Neodiprion lecontei: one gene and its partner. The protein of the gene in region 1 purifies or fractionates together with the protein of each later gene. This does not show direct contact. Links are inferred from orthologs where the notes say so. Each region holds a gene or a part of one and is shown on either strand. Other genes may lie near its edges.

Evidence for each region. Proteins that work in one complex are often made in the same cells at the same time.
Region 2: the proteins of serine/threonine-protein kinase polo (region 1) and protein mahjong purify together in Homo sapiens (affinity purification with mass spectrometry; 3 studies listed by BioGRID and IntAct, with this or other methods). This does not show direct contact. The link is inferred for Neodiprion lecontei from reciprocal best matches to the Homo sapiens genes PLK1 and DCAF1.

What each region holds. Positions count from the first base shown.
Region 1 is NC_060263.1:23,619,982-23,627,962, forward strand, and holds serine/threonine-protein kinase polo, read left to right. Parts: upstream 1-1,937; 5' UTR 1,938-2,088; coding exon 2,089-2,181; intron 2,182-3,142; coding exon 3,143-3,367; intron 3,368-3,577; coding exon 3,578-3,795; intron 3,796-4,042; coding exon 4,043-4,338; intron 4,339-4,511; coding exon 4,512-4,805; intron 4,806-6,294; coding exon 6,295-6,695; intron 6,696-6,835; coding exon 6,836-7,033; 3' UTR 7,034-7,613; downstream 7,614-7,981. UniProt on the Homo sapiens protein: Serine/threonine-protein kinase that performs several important functions throughout M phase of the cell cycle, including the regulation of centrosome maturation and spindle assembly, the removal of cohesins from chromosome arms, the inactivation of anaphase-promoting complex/cyclosome (APC/C) inhibitors, and the regulation of mitotic exit and cytokinesis.
Region 2 is NC_060260.1:28,673,223-28,677,914, forward strand, and holds the start of protein mahjong, read left to right. Parts: upstream 1-1,682; 5' UTR 1,683-1,697; coding exon 1,698-1,771; exon of another isoform or gene 1,772-1,901; intron 1,902-2,147; exon of another isoform or gene 2,148-2,290; coding exon of another isoform or gene 2,291-2,316; intron 2,317-2,479; coding exon 2,480-2,750; intron 2,751-2,986; coding exon 2,987-4,375; intron 4,376-4,645; coding exon 4,646-4,692. UniProt on the Homo sapiens protein: Acts both as a substrate recognition component of E3 ubiquitin-protein ligase complexes and as an atypical serine/threonine-protein kinase, playing key roles in various processes such as cell cycle, telomerase regulation and histone modification.

The sequences.
Region 1 (7,981 bases):
GCAAATATAATTGAAGCAAAATATTGCTACAGAAAAATTGAATGTATTGTTTGTTAAAAAATGGATGCAATATATTATTCCAATAAAAAACTCTTCACATTATTTTTCATCTGCGGTATGATAACATTTTTTGTCTGAAAATAGAACTGCCATAATATGAATTTCCACCCTTGAGAGGCAATAATGGTTGATTAAATGAATATAAGGTGACAAGAACTTATAGTGGTCTCATGAAGAATCATTGATATTTAGGGTTTCGATTTGATCTTCAAACAATCAGTCCCCATCATCTCGCGAATAAATACAGTAAATATTTTCCGAAGTTTGATATCGTGTGAAACCTTTACGAAATTATTAATATACTTGTACTAGGTGAAATTCTGATTTTCAATTCAGTGTTTAAAAAACTTTAAGGGGGTGGTTTACTTGATTACGACGTTCTTGTATAAATTTCCAAATACCGAAATCACGTATCTCAAGCGCGAAAGAAGGGCCCAACAGCCCCATTTTATACGCAATTCTGAACAAACACACTCCGATATAATTTCATTTGACGCAGAAATAAAGAAATGGTATGGATTCTAAGAAATCGCAATAGTAAATTCGTAGAATTCATGCCATTTCTTTATTTCTGCATTAATTGAAAATGTATTGTATCGTTTTTGTTCAGCATTTTACCTTCTTCACGTTTGAGATATGCGGACTTTGATATTTGGAGATACATTCGCCAATGTCGAAATCGACCAGGGTACCCGCTTAAGGTACTGTACTCAACATTTTATTGGTCCCGTCAATTCGACGATATAATACACGATTGGGTAAATATCTAGCGTTTTGCGATTTAGGTGCATATATGACAACCGCTAAGAACGCGTGATGATGCGGGTAATTATACATTTTTAATATCTAACTAAAACGGTCGGTTCCGTTAGTTTCGTGTTGCGTGGCACATTTTTGCCAGTAGTGTGCTTAGGTCCGAATTTATTGGCCAATCAGATTCAACCTGTATCGTCTTTTAGTCCTTTAAAGGAAATAATAGTAAAGAAATACAAAAGGGATTTTTTACGATATTTATTTTTTTCCGATATGAAGCATACAAAAATGTTACGTGTGGAACGTGAAAGTAAGTGAATATTCGGACAACTATAGTATTGAGTATTCAGAACGGCCAAGCATCCAAGACTATAGTTGTAAAAACGATCGAACTGCTGTTTGATTAGAAATTAGGATTTACACGATATTGTTTTTACTACAATAAATCCCTGATTTGAATGTTTTGACCGGTATTTTGTGTTTTTTTTTTTTTGTTAGTCTTTACCAGCAAATTGATATGTGGTCTTCTATGTCATACATCATACGATGTCTGGTCATTTATTCCTCCAGGTATGAGTGTATCAAATTTGAGTAATATTATTTGGATTAGAAAATCTGAATACATCCCACAATAATGCCCATAAAGTCGACACCAGCACAAAGATTGGCAAATTTCTGTGAAGCACGAAATATTTTTTCTCGATATGAAGCGGTCTTAACATCAATGAAACTTATAGGATATATCAATTATATCACCTCACATACCGTGTAAAATTTTCAATAAAAATCACGAAAATTGGGTTTCCCTAATTTTCGAAAAACGAACGTCGTTTCGTCAGTTTTCGAAAATCTTGAACTTTCTCTGCATATTTCAAAAGAGTGCAAGAAACTCTACAAAATTTGACCAAGATCTTGGGATATGTTCCGATATACACTAAGAGCACTGTTCAGTGCTCTTACTGATCAAGTTTAATTAATGCTCATCGAAAAATACTGTACAGGCTGCCCATGGGTAAAGCCTCGATGGCGAAGCGTACCAACAACAGAAAATTCGGATGTCACGTGACAAGTGGGACGTACGCTATTGGCTGGAACATCTGGATTCAAACATTAGAATCCGTTGCCCGTTCAACACGAAACAGCAGCCAGTTGAGGGCGAGTAACCAAGAGAAGCGGCCTTCGGTGTTACTACGTGTCTTATAACTGTGATTTTAACCGATTTCTAAGTTTTATACCTATACTGGACTGTGGCTCGAATTACCCGGAACAACAAAGATGTCTAAACATGACAAAGACAACGTTATTCCCGATATAATCCACGATGGAAATACGGGAAAGAGCTATATTAAGGGTCGTTTCTTCGGAAAGGTGAGTCTCCTCGAATATTAATCAACGTGTTGTCTCTCTTGCATCCTTCCCATGCCGAAAAATAGCAAAATCCTCGATCGCCGGCTTTGAGGGCGAAGCCAAAGATGAGTCAATCCTAAAGCCATTTCAACTTTCTGGGAATCAGTAGATTGAAGGCGAATTGATCAAACAATCAGATTCTGACACAAACACATTAATTCCTTCGAACAGTATTGCGGGACAACTGATTTATCGTTATTACTCTCTTCTTTTCCGATTAATCATTCTTCTCTGTATTACACATCAATCTAAATCTTTCGTTCATGTTTTCTTTATTCCTTACAACTAATTACACTACGTTTTGCATGCAGTGTCAATAGTCCTGATTCGGGCTTCTGCAAGGTCAAATTTTTGAACACTGCCACCATCAAGCCCATTGTTGAATTTCTGTTGTGCCCGGAAATATATGCTCTGAGAAATTGATGTTATTACTGGTGGATTAAGTCCAAAACGTCATTTGTCATACAGCTTTCAGCCTTTCACCTAGATATATCCAAACACTTGTTGCTCTTAGCCTTGTAATGTTTTTCAAAAAAACATTGCTTTATTCAAAACCCCATCAAGCATTACATTAGCAGTAACTTACCATTCGAAATTTATTTGCTAATTTCACATAACATGCCCGCAAATGTCAGATAGAATTATTATTTGCCCAAAAGATATCTTTTAACAATAAAGTAGAGCGTATTAGTTACCTCGTGAATTCTGATATACCTTCAGTTCTAGGCTTCCTAATAATTTCATTTAAGCAAAACAGAATTTAGTGAAACAACTTTGTATCAGCTAATATTTTAAGGAATCATTTGATTGATAAAATATTGTTTAAGATGAATCTTATGAATGAAAATTTTATATTTTATAATGAGGAATGATCACAAAAAATATGTTGTGGCGAATCTGTACTATGTTATATTTTTTCTAGGGTGGATTTGCAAAATGTTACGAGATCAAGGAATCGAAGTCTCATCATGTATTTGCTGGAAAAATTGTACCCAAATCAATACTGACAAAAGTCAATCAGCGTGACAAAATGACGCAGGAAATACATATTCATCAAAGTCTCACACACAGACATATCGTCGGGTTTCATGGATTCTTTGAAGATATCCAAAATATTTATATCATATTGGAACTTTGTCGTAAAAGGGTAAAGATTTCACATCAACCTTTTATATTTTATGCATCTTTTCAGAGAAAGCCATATTACTTTTTCAAATGTAAGGAATATACGTTTCATTCATGTAAGATTTCTAATCACCATTTTCTTGTTTGCACAATATCAGACACACTTTCCTCCAGTATACAAATTGGAATACCATGGCGATATATATCTGATTCGTTATATTTATTCTTTCAGTCAATGATGGAGTTGCACAAAAGAAGGAAAGCTCTGACAGAGTGTGAAACACGCTATTACATGAAACAGATCTTGGATGGTGTCGCCTATCTGCACAAGAATAAAATAATACATCGAGATCTGAAACTAGGGAACCTTTTCCTAGACGACGAATTACAAGTAAAAATAGGTGACTTCGGATTAGCTACAAAACTAGAACATGATGGAGAAAGGAAAAAGTAATCTCCTTATTCAATTATTATTATACGTTTATGGGGATCAAGTTTGTAATGTTAACATGGTGATAATTGAAAAATTCATTTCTTTCATTCCTAAAGTTCCAAAATAGGTACTTAAGAAAAACCTTTGTTATGTTAATGTTATCCACTTCAAGCTTTATTTAGAGACATAATTGATCTAAAACTTATTCCAAGTAGCTGGTCTTCGAATGTTAATAAACTACTTTGATTTAATTTCGGAAAATAGAACTTTGTGCGGAACTCCAAATTACATAGCTCCAGAAATTCTGATGAAATCTGGGCATTCCTATGAAGTTGACATCTGGAGTATCGGATGTATAATGTACACTCTTCTTGTGGGAAAACCACCTTTCGAAACATCAAGCCTCAGGGAAACATATGCTAGGATAAAACAAGTGCAATACAAAACTCCAGCTTTTCTGAGCAAAGCTGCAATGAATATGATTGCCAACATGCTTCAAGGGAATCCCACTAAACGGCCCAGTGTTAACAAACTGATCAAAGATGTATTCTTCACATCTGGTATTAAATATTTACTTTCTCAGGTTAAAATTCATAAATTAGAAGCATAAACAGCTGCTTCGTACAGAAATAACCAATTTCTTAAAAGTGAATGGTACCGTACGATTTAAGTGTACAAATGAGTTGTCTGAAAGTCAAGAAATTAAATTCGTTATTATTTACCAAATTCATAGGATTCTTGCCAACAAGTCTTCCAATATCTTGCCTCACAATGGCACCTCGTATGGATGCATTGGAAATGCACAATCAGCGTAAGCCGTTAACTGAAATGAATGGAAATGGATGTGGAGATATAAATGATGTCCTATTCAGAGTTCCGCAAAGTCCTGCTCTCAAGGGTAAAGGTATCGAAATGAGTGAAGAAAAAAAATTGGGTCTCGATATAAAGAAGATGTTACTCACACTAAAAGAACAATTAGCAACTGTACTCAAAACTAAGCCTGCCGTGGACCTCATCGCTTTTGGAGGTACATAGACATATATGACGCCACACGAAAAGTAGTAAATTCACATACTATTCCAGCCACAAATATTACACTACTAACAACCAGTTTTAATTTCACTAATTGATACTGTATATTTCCAATACAGAACGGCCAAGATCCTATCAGATTACCCTGGAAACATCAGGCATGGTTCTTCCAATCCGTGTATAATATTAATATACAATGTGTTTTTGTTCAGTAATCAATGCTTCTATTGCTGCAAATTGAGGACCTATAACAGGGTGGCGACAGACTAAGAAATCCAGGAATAGTCAGGAAATTTCGTCTATCCGGAAAAGTCGTCTATCGGGAAAAGTCAGGGAATTATGATGGATTGTAGGGAAAAAACATACTTTTTTTTTATAATTCGTTTTCAGTCTTCAGCTATGCTTCGTAAATTCAGTTAATCTAACTTTCAGAAATGGTATTGTTTAATCTCTAATTATTTTGTGTGAAACAAAGCAATACTATTTGTTTTTTAGATCCAAATTTATATATTCAAGGTGCGCAATTTCGCGAGATTTTGGTCATAAAAGCTGCCCAATATTACTTAAGTTTTGTGGGAAAACTTCAAAGAATTCTGAATTTTCTGATGGGAAAAGTCAGAGAGTTTTATTTGAGCAAAATTGTCGCCACCCTATTATATCTACTTATTTCCAATATTTAAGACTACAATCATTACAACTGAATTGTTTTACTTTGAAACAGGTCACCAACATTCTAAGTAAAAATAATCAGTGAAAATTGTCCTGGTCAATCATCAAATTTTCGTAGCATGACTAGAAACTTTGCTCGTTTGAATTACCTTTATTCATTTTTAATCAACATATATCTGAAATTCATGCAGAAGTATCTCTATTACAGCAGATTGTTGAGTGTATCTGACTTTTTGATTGAAAACAAAGTAGATGTACATGTAAATTATTTTCACAAAACATCACCATACTTGTTATCTGGAATTGCTTTATTTGAGTCTGTATAAATACTTTGACTCTTATTTATTACCTGTTCTATTATCAACCAGTGATAAAAATGTTGGTCAGTTAAATGCATGACAGTAACAATATTGATGTGCACTGTTTCCCTGTGAATGAATTGCTGTTAACAGAGAAATTATTTGATACAATTGTGTATTCTTTCTGTCAATACCTATTTAAGGTGAACAAAATTCCATTGCTCTTGAACTTATTGCTGTTGTACTATAAGCAGTCTCTCTCTTAAGGTTCACACCTACTAAATTTGACGTATTTAGAGTGCATTTCGCCTTATTTTGGTGTTTTCTGAAGTTGAATGAGTAACTTTTCAACGTGAAATTTTTTTTTCGTCGTCATCGATGGTTCAACAACTCATCTCTGTCTTCCATTGTTAAGCACACATTGTATATTGATGTGTACGATACTAGATTTTTCAACGTGAACTCCAATGACGTGGTGTTTTTTTCTTTGTTCCTTTCTTTCTTCAACTACTTTAGATGAGATGACAGATCCAGATGCACAACCATTTGTTTGGATCAGTAAATGGGTGGACTACTCAGACAAATATGGTTTTGGATACCAATTATCTGACGAAGGAGTTGGTGTGATGTACAACGACGGAACACGTCTGATAATGCTTGCGAACGGTTTCAATGTTCATTACATAAATCGTGAAGGATCAGAAGAATACCATACAGTTAAGGACTATCCGGGTCACCTGGACAAGAAGATGAAGCTGTTGAACTATTTTCAACGTTACATGAATGAACATCTAATGAAAGCTGGGGGATCGGTGGCTGTTAAGCAAAGTGATTCAATGTCCAGGATTCCCTACATGCATCAGTGGTTTAGAACGCAAAGTGCTGTAGTTATGCAGCTGACTAATGGATCTGTACAAGTAATTATAACTCGCACAGTTTTTCTTTTTCATCTCTGACATCCATCTGTTTGTACAATGTGAAAAAATTGTGAAGTTCGTATGAACATTGTGACTGGCCAGTGTTGCATAAATATATATGTCAACTACTTTTTTTTCAGATAAACTTCTTAGACCACACCAAGATCATAATGTGTCCTTTGATGGCTGCCGTCACATACATTGATAGTGAGAAAAACTTCCGAACTTTCAGATTCCAAACGATTCAACAACATGGTTGCACTTCTGGACTAGCAAAGAACTTAGCTTACGCCCATGAAAAAGTTGGTTTTATGCTGGTTACTCCGCAATCACGATAGTTTCATAACTCAATCTAGTACTGATTAAAATAATTAAGCTAATGATTAACCATATTATCATCCAACGGACGAGTAAGCGACGCCACATTCAATGCAAGAAATTTTAATGTCTCTCAACTTTTTTGAAGACACTTTTTATAATTACTGCTAGCTAGGTATCCAGACAGCCTGTTGTTAATTTTAATTATGTATTATTTTTTATGGATAGGTCTATAGTATTTTTCTATAAGCTTTTTTTTATGTGTCGAAAAGTGAGAAAAGTAGTAGGTAGAAGTTGATAAAAAGAAAAACCAAGAAAGTGGAAGAAACTTTTGTGATCATTGAATGATATTTCTAAGCACAAAACGAATAACTATTGAACTTTTAAGTGCGGATGAAATTAATTATATGTGATCCCACCTTAATAAGATATATACGTACACATCATGCATTTTCAAAGCTGGAACTTAATATGATTGTGCTTTCTGAGGACACAGAATACTGGCACTTAGTAAGGTCATTTATTTCAAAAGTACAATAAGCGTGCTACCTCAGATTATTATTTAAATTTTAACAAGTTCAAGCAGGCCAACATTTCTGTTCCAAGGATTCGAAAAAGGGGGTTCTATAATAATTATAAATTAAGAGTTGGAAGAAAATGAAGGACTATTACAATAGATCAGTATCTGTACGTTATCCTTGTAAGGTATCTCAATTGACTTGTTTAAATTTAAGCAACTGTACATACGTAGTGGTTAATTACGTCTTAAAAGGAGTACGATGAATACAAATACTAATCTTCAGAAACAAAAAGCTTCAATATTTCTAATTACGGAGATGAAAATTTTCACTACTACTTTATATTTTTATACATAAATGATTGCGCAGACCCCCCAAATCAATGTCGGAGTATAATTGTACAAAATAAACTGCCTGCACATGTACATTTTTCATCCATTAAAGAACTTA
Region 2 (4,692 bases), on another chromosome or scaffold:
GACGAGGCAAGCGGTGCTCGTATCTGGAAATGTACATAGACCAAAGTTATAGTATATTTTATTATAATATAGAATAATGTTTTGTACTTTCAAAAATTTGAGTTCAATTTTGTAACATAACTCGTTTTCAAAATAAAATATGTAAGGAATATCCATTTCGAAACAAATCTCAATTATTCTCAATCACTTAGTTCCTCTTCATCACTAAAGTAATTATTTTTTTTAAAACGTTTTTTAGGTTTCGAAGATTCCTGTCTTGGCTCTTCGTACTGGCCAGTTGCAACTTGGAACCTATACTTTGCAAGTTCCTCTTGTTCTTGCTGAAATAAAATGATCAAATAAGAATCTAAAAAGTGCATTTAAGATTAAAAACTTTCCAAATGACACAATTTCCTACCTCGTGATGTATAGCAGCACTCAAAGTTTCTAAATCTGATTCAGCCACTGCATTGTCATATATTGTCTCAGAGTCCCCAACACCACCTGGTTCTCTCAAGCCTTCGTCACTGTCACTATCATAATATGAGGTATCGCCTTTTGCTTGATCTTTATTTTTTTTTCTAATTCTGATTTTTTTTGGTGGAGGTTCTCTGGGGCCCAAAGTATTTTGAGAGCATTGGTACGACAGATGCCCTTCTTCACCACACTCGTAACACTGAGATTTGTCTGGATAATCCTTTCGTCGAATGAATTCAGTACTGCGTCCATTATCCACGGCTATGGAGCTTTTCACAGTACGGCCACCAATCTGAGAATAGAAAATTTTCTTCATTTTGTGTGAGATGTATATTCATTATTAAAATAAGTTATGATAGTAAGACAAACATATGATATTGATATATATTTTACCTCAGTATTATTTAGAGTCTTTGCACAAGTAATGGCATCTTCACGTGTGAGAAATAAGACGAATGCAACACCCTTGCTGCGTCTAGTCATCTTGTCTTTCAACACAGTAACTCTGCAATTCATAAAATCACATTTTAATCAACTGTTTAAGTTAGCTACAATTATAGATTCAATACATTAGATAAGATATTATATATGTTTCTCTGGGTAAAGATAAAAGAGAAAAGTGAATGCGTGTATGGTAATTACGAAATACTGAAATTCCAAAAGTTTATTAAATAGTTAACAAGTTGCATCATTAATTTTCGAAGTGATCACTCACTTGACGATCTTTCCGTACGTTTCGAGAAGCTTGTGTATGTCATTATTAGTCAGAGAAAAGGGCAAGTTAGAAACGTAAACCGTTGATTTACTCGGAGCAACACCTCCGCTCATCGCTCTGAATTATTGTTTCGTATGAACCGTATGAACACAGTGTAAATTTGAAATATACACGGTGTAGGTTATGTTCTTGTCGCATATTTTACGGTTATGTTTCACTTTGACGCAGAAGCATAATTTTAAATTTGTTCATTCACGATTCGTCGATATAGATCACGTGGATGTCGTTCTTTGTTCTCATTGGCGTAGGAGCTCTGCCAGGTCAAGTCTTGGGGCGCGAAATGTCAAAAAAAAATTCCAAAAATTGAATAATTGATGACAAATATTTTGGTTTTTCGAGTTTGATATCGCCCAGTGACCATTTTCCCTGAAAAACCTAACATAAGTGACGATAGCTGGTCATCCCGACATTACCTACAAACACATTGATCTGAATTTGACCTTTCGCACGCAAACGAATCGTGTGCATGAATCATAAATTTGGCCATGTGCAGACCGCGTTCGGCAGTCGAAGCTTGTGTCGGTGGCGACAGTCTTGTATGTGCGTTTTAACAAAATATTTTGGGCAATTAGAAGGGATATAGGTTGTTTGCTATCGAAAAACGTTGATTAAACTTTCTTGGTAATTTAACATCAATAAGGTACAATTTTGAAAGCTGTCATAGTCGTTGGTACTTGAAAAACTTGTTGTTTTAACCTAACCTAACCTATACATCTGGTAACATTTCTGTACAAGATTTAAGAGGCACAGATATGTCAAGCAGTTGTTGTATCACTCCCTTTAATAAATAGGAGTTACATTTTGCGATACCTGTAATATGTCTAGTATAGTTAATAATTTTATTACGCTTTGATAGATCATACTTTAATCTCGGAATTCTGTTATTTAAGGTTAGAGTCTTCGGTGTTATGTTCGTTTTTTCGAGTTGTGGAACCTTCCGTTACAAAACTGTACACTTTTGCAAATTAAGTACATGGCTTATCCTTTGCTTAAAATTAACGAGTCGTATTCATTATTAGCAGATTCTTCAAAGACCTTATTCCAAAATCAAAAATAAACATGGCTCAGCAAAATTGTGTTAAAAGGTTGCATTTGAATAACTATTTACAAATATCAATTATTTCCTGGTTTGTAATTCCAATGAATTTTATTCATTTGAAAGTCTCAATGGCTCATATGAGTACAAGGTAATTTTTCATGATTCAGACAATTCTGCTTTAATTTTTCCTTGTATCTTTACTTTGATAGAACAAAAGTCATGGCGACAGTAGAATCACTTGCGGAAGTAACAGATGTTGTTCAAATTCTGCGTCAGTGGGAAGAAGACCATGTTTCACCGACGTATGATCCAATACCAACATTGCAACGTTTGGCTGAAATTATAGAAATAGAGACAGAAAATTACTTAAAAATGGATCCAGATCCATTTGACGAAAGGCACCCTTCACGCACTGATCCAGAATGTAATTTTGGACATATTTTGAAAGTTTTGTTTAGAAAGGACAACTTCATGACAAAGGTAGTACCTTGTTCCATATTTATTGTGTAATTTTTTGAAACAAATGATAACAGCATTGAAACCATATCAAATCTAATAATTTCTTACATCCAATGTGAGTAATGAAATCAGGGACAAAACAAACTTGTCTGTCTCAAACATCAGCTTTGAACAATTGTTGAGTCTTTATCCGAAACATATTTTCGATCTGTCATTTGACTATTTGGAAAAATTCAATTCAATGATTTGTGTTACAGCTGATAAATGATTATCTAAGAGACACGTACTGGACACGGTCAGGTATTAACGGTCGTGATGTGCGAAAGTTGAATATTGCAGCCTGCCGTTTGATGTTGGACATATTGCCAGGCCTAGAAACATCAGCAGTGTTTCAACCCGATATGGATGGGCTTATCCATAGGCTTTTTTCGTGGGCTGAAAAAAGCATAGAGCCTTTACAAAGTTATGCCACCGGTTTGTTAGCTGCTGCAATGGAAGTTCAAGACATTGCTACAGGATTTAGAGAACAGAATGGTAAAATGGTGCCTTTGATGCTGCAAAGATTACACAAGCTACAAGAAAAAGCTTTGGAAAATCGTCATGCAGCAGTTAACACAAGACCATTTGCACATTTTGGTCAGAATAGAAATAGCCTGGGTGATACTGAACACAAAGGTACTCCTGGAAAACGGAAAGTGAGAGAGAAGAAACATGAAAATGGAACAATGAAAAGCCCTACGCACTCAATTTTTTGCTCAGATGAAGAAGACTCGATTCAAAGTTCGGACGAAATGCCACCAAGCAAAAAACTCAAGTCTCAAAATAACATGGAAAATGCTGTTTTAACACCTGTTAAATCTAACGATAACACCAGAGATTCATACCCCGAGATTATGTCCCCACCGTTATCTATTCCTCGTATAACTACCTATACAACTTTACAAGTTACACCAGCGAAGAATCAAAACACTCGTGTAACACCACCAAGACCTGTCAACATATTGGCATCTGGTAGATCTAATTTGTCTAAACCTCAGACTCAAGTAATCAACCCGCCTTCCTTGCTTCTAGAAGGTAATTCGAATTCGTCCTGGGCTGAAATGGAGTCTTACGTTATTGGCAATGTTCAAATACATCCGCCCACTTTGGCTACTCGTCAGATGCTGATTTTAAGGTACCTCACACCAATGGGAGAATACCAAGAATTTCTTGGGCACGTATTCGAGCAAAACGCTTTGGAATTGATATTAAACTACATAAATGTACGGGAAACAAAGGATAGTCGCTTAGCTTTTGAAGCTTTAAAATACTTAGCATCTTTACTGTGTCATAAAAAATTTTCTATCGAGTTCCTAAGTATGGGTGGATTACAAAAACTCTTAGATGTACCAAGACCCAGTGTCGCGGCAACTGGTGTTTCTATTTGTTTGTATTATCTTGCATACTGTGAGGATGCTATGGAAAGAGTTTGTCTCTTACCGAAACATATAATAACCGATTTAGTGAAATATGCATTGTGGTTACTGGAGAGAAGTCACGATTCTGGTAGATGTCATGCAACAATGTTCTTTGGATTTTCATTTCCTTTCAAAGTTATTCTGGAAGAATTTGATCTCCAAGATGGACTTAGGAAATTATACAATGTTGTGAGTATATGAACTTAATATCAAACTGCAGTGTTTTGCGAGACATAATAAAGTCATTATACACAAACCACCATTTTGAACGAGAAAAAAATGACAGTTTAATTCCAAAACTAGAACAATCAGTAATTTCATTCATTTCTGTGATTGTGAAAATGTATGTCGCATTAATTTGGGGTTTGCAATGTGAGAATACTATATTGCATTTGCTAAATCTTATTATTATTATTATCATCATTATTTTTGAGACATGTATTTCCTGATTTACATTAGATATCTACATTACCCATTCTAAACATTGATGATGACCCGGCTTTGAA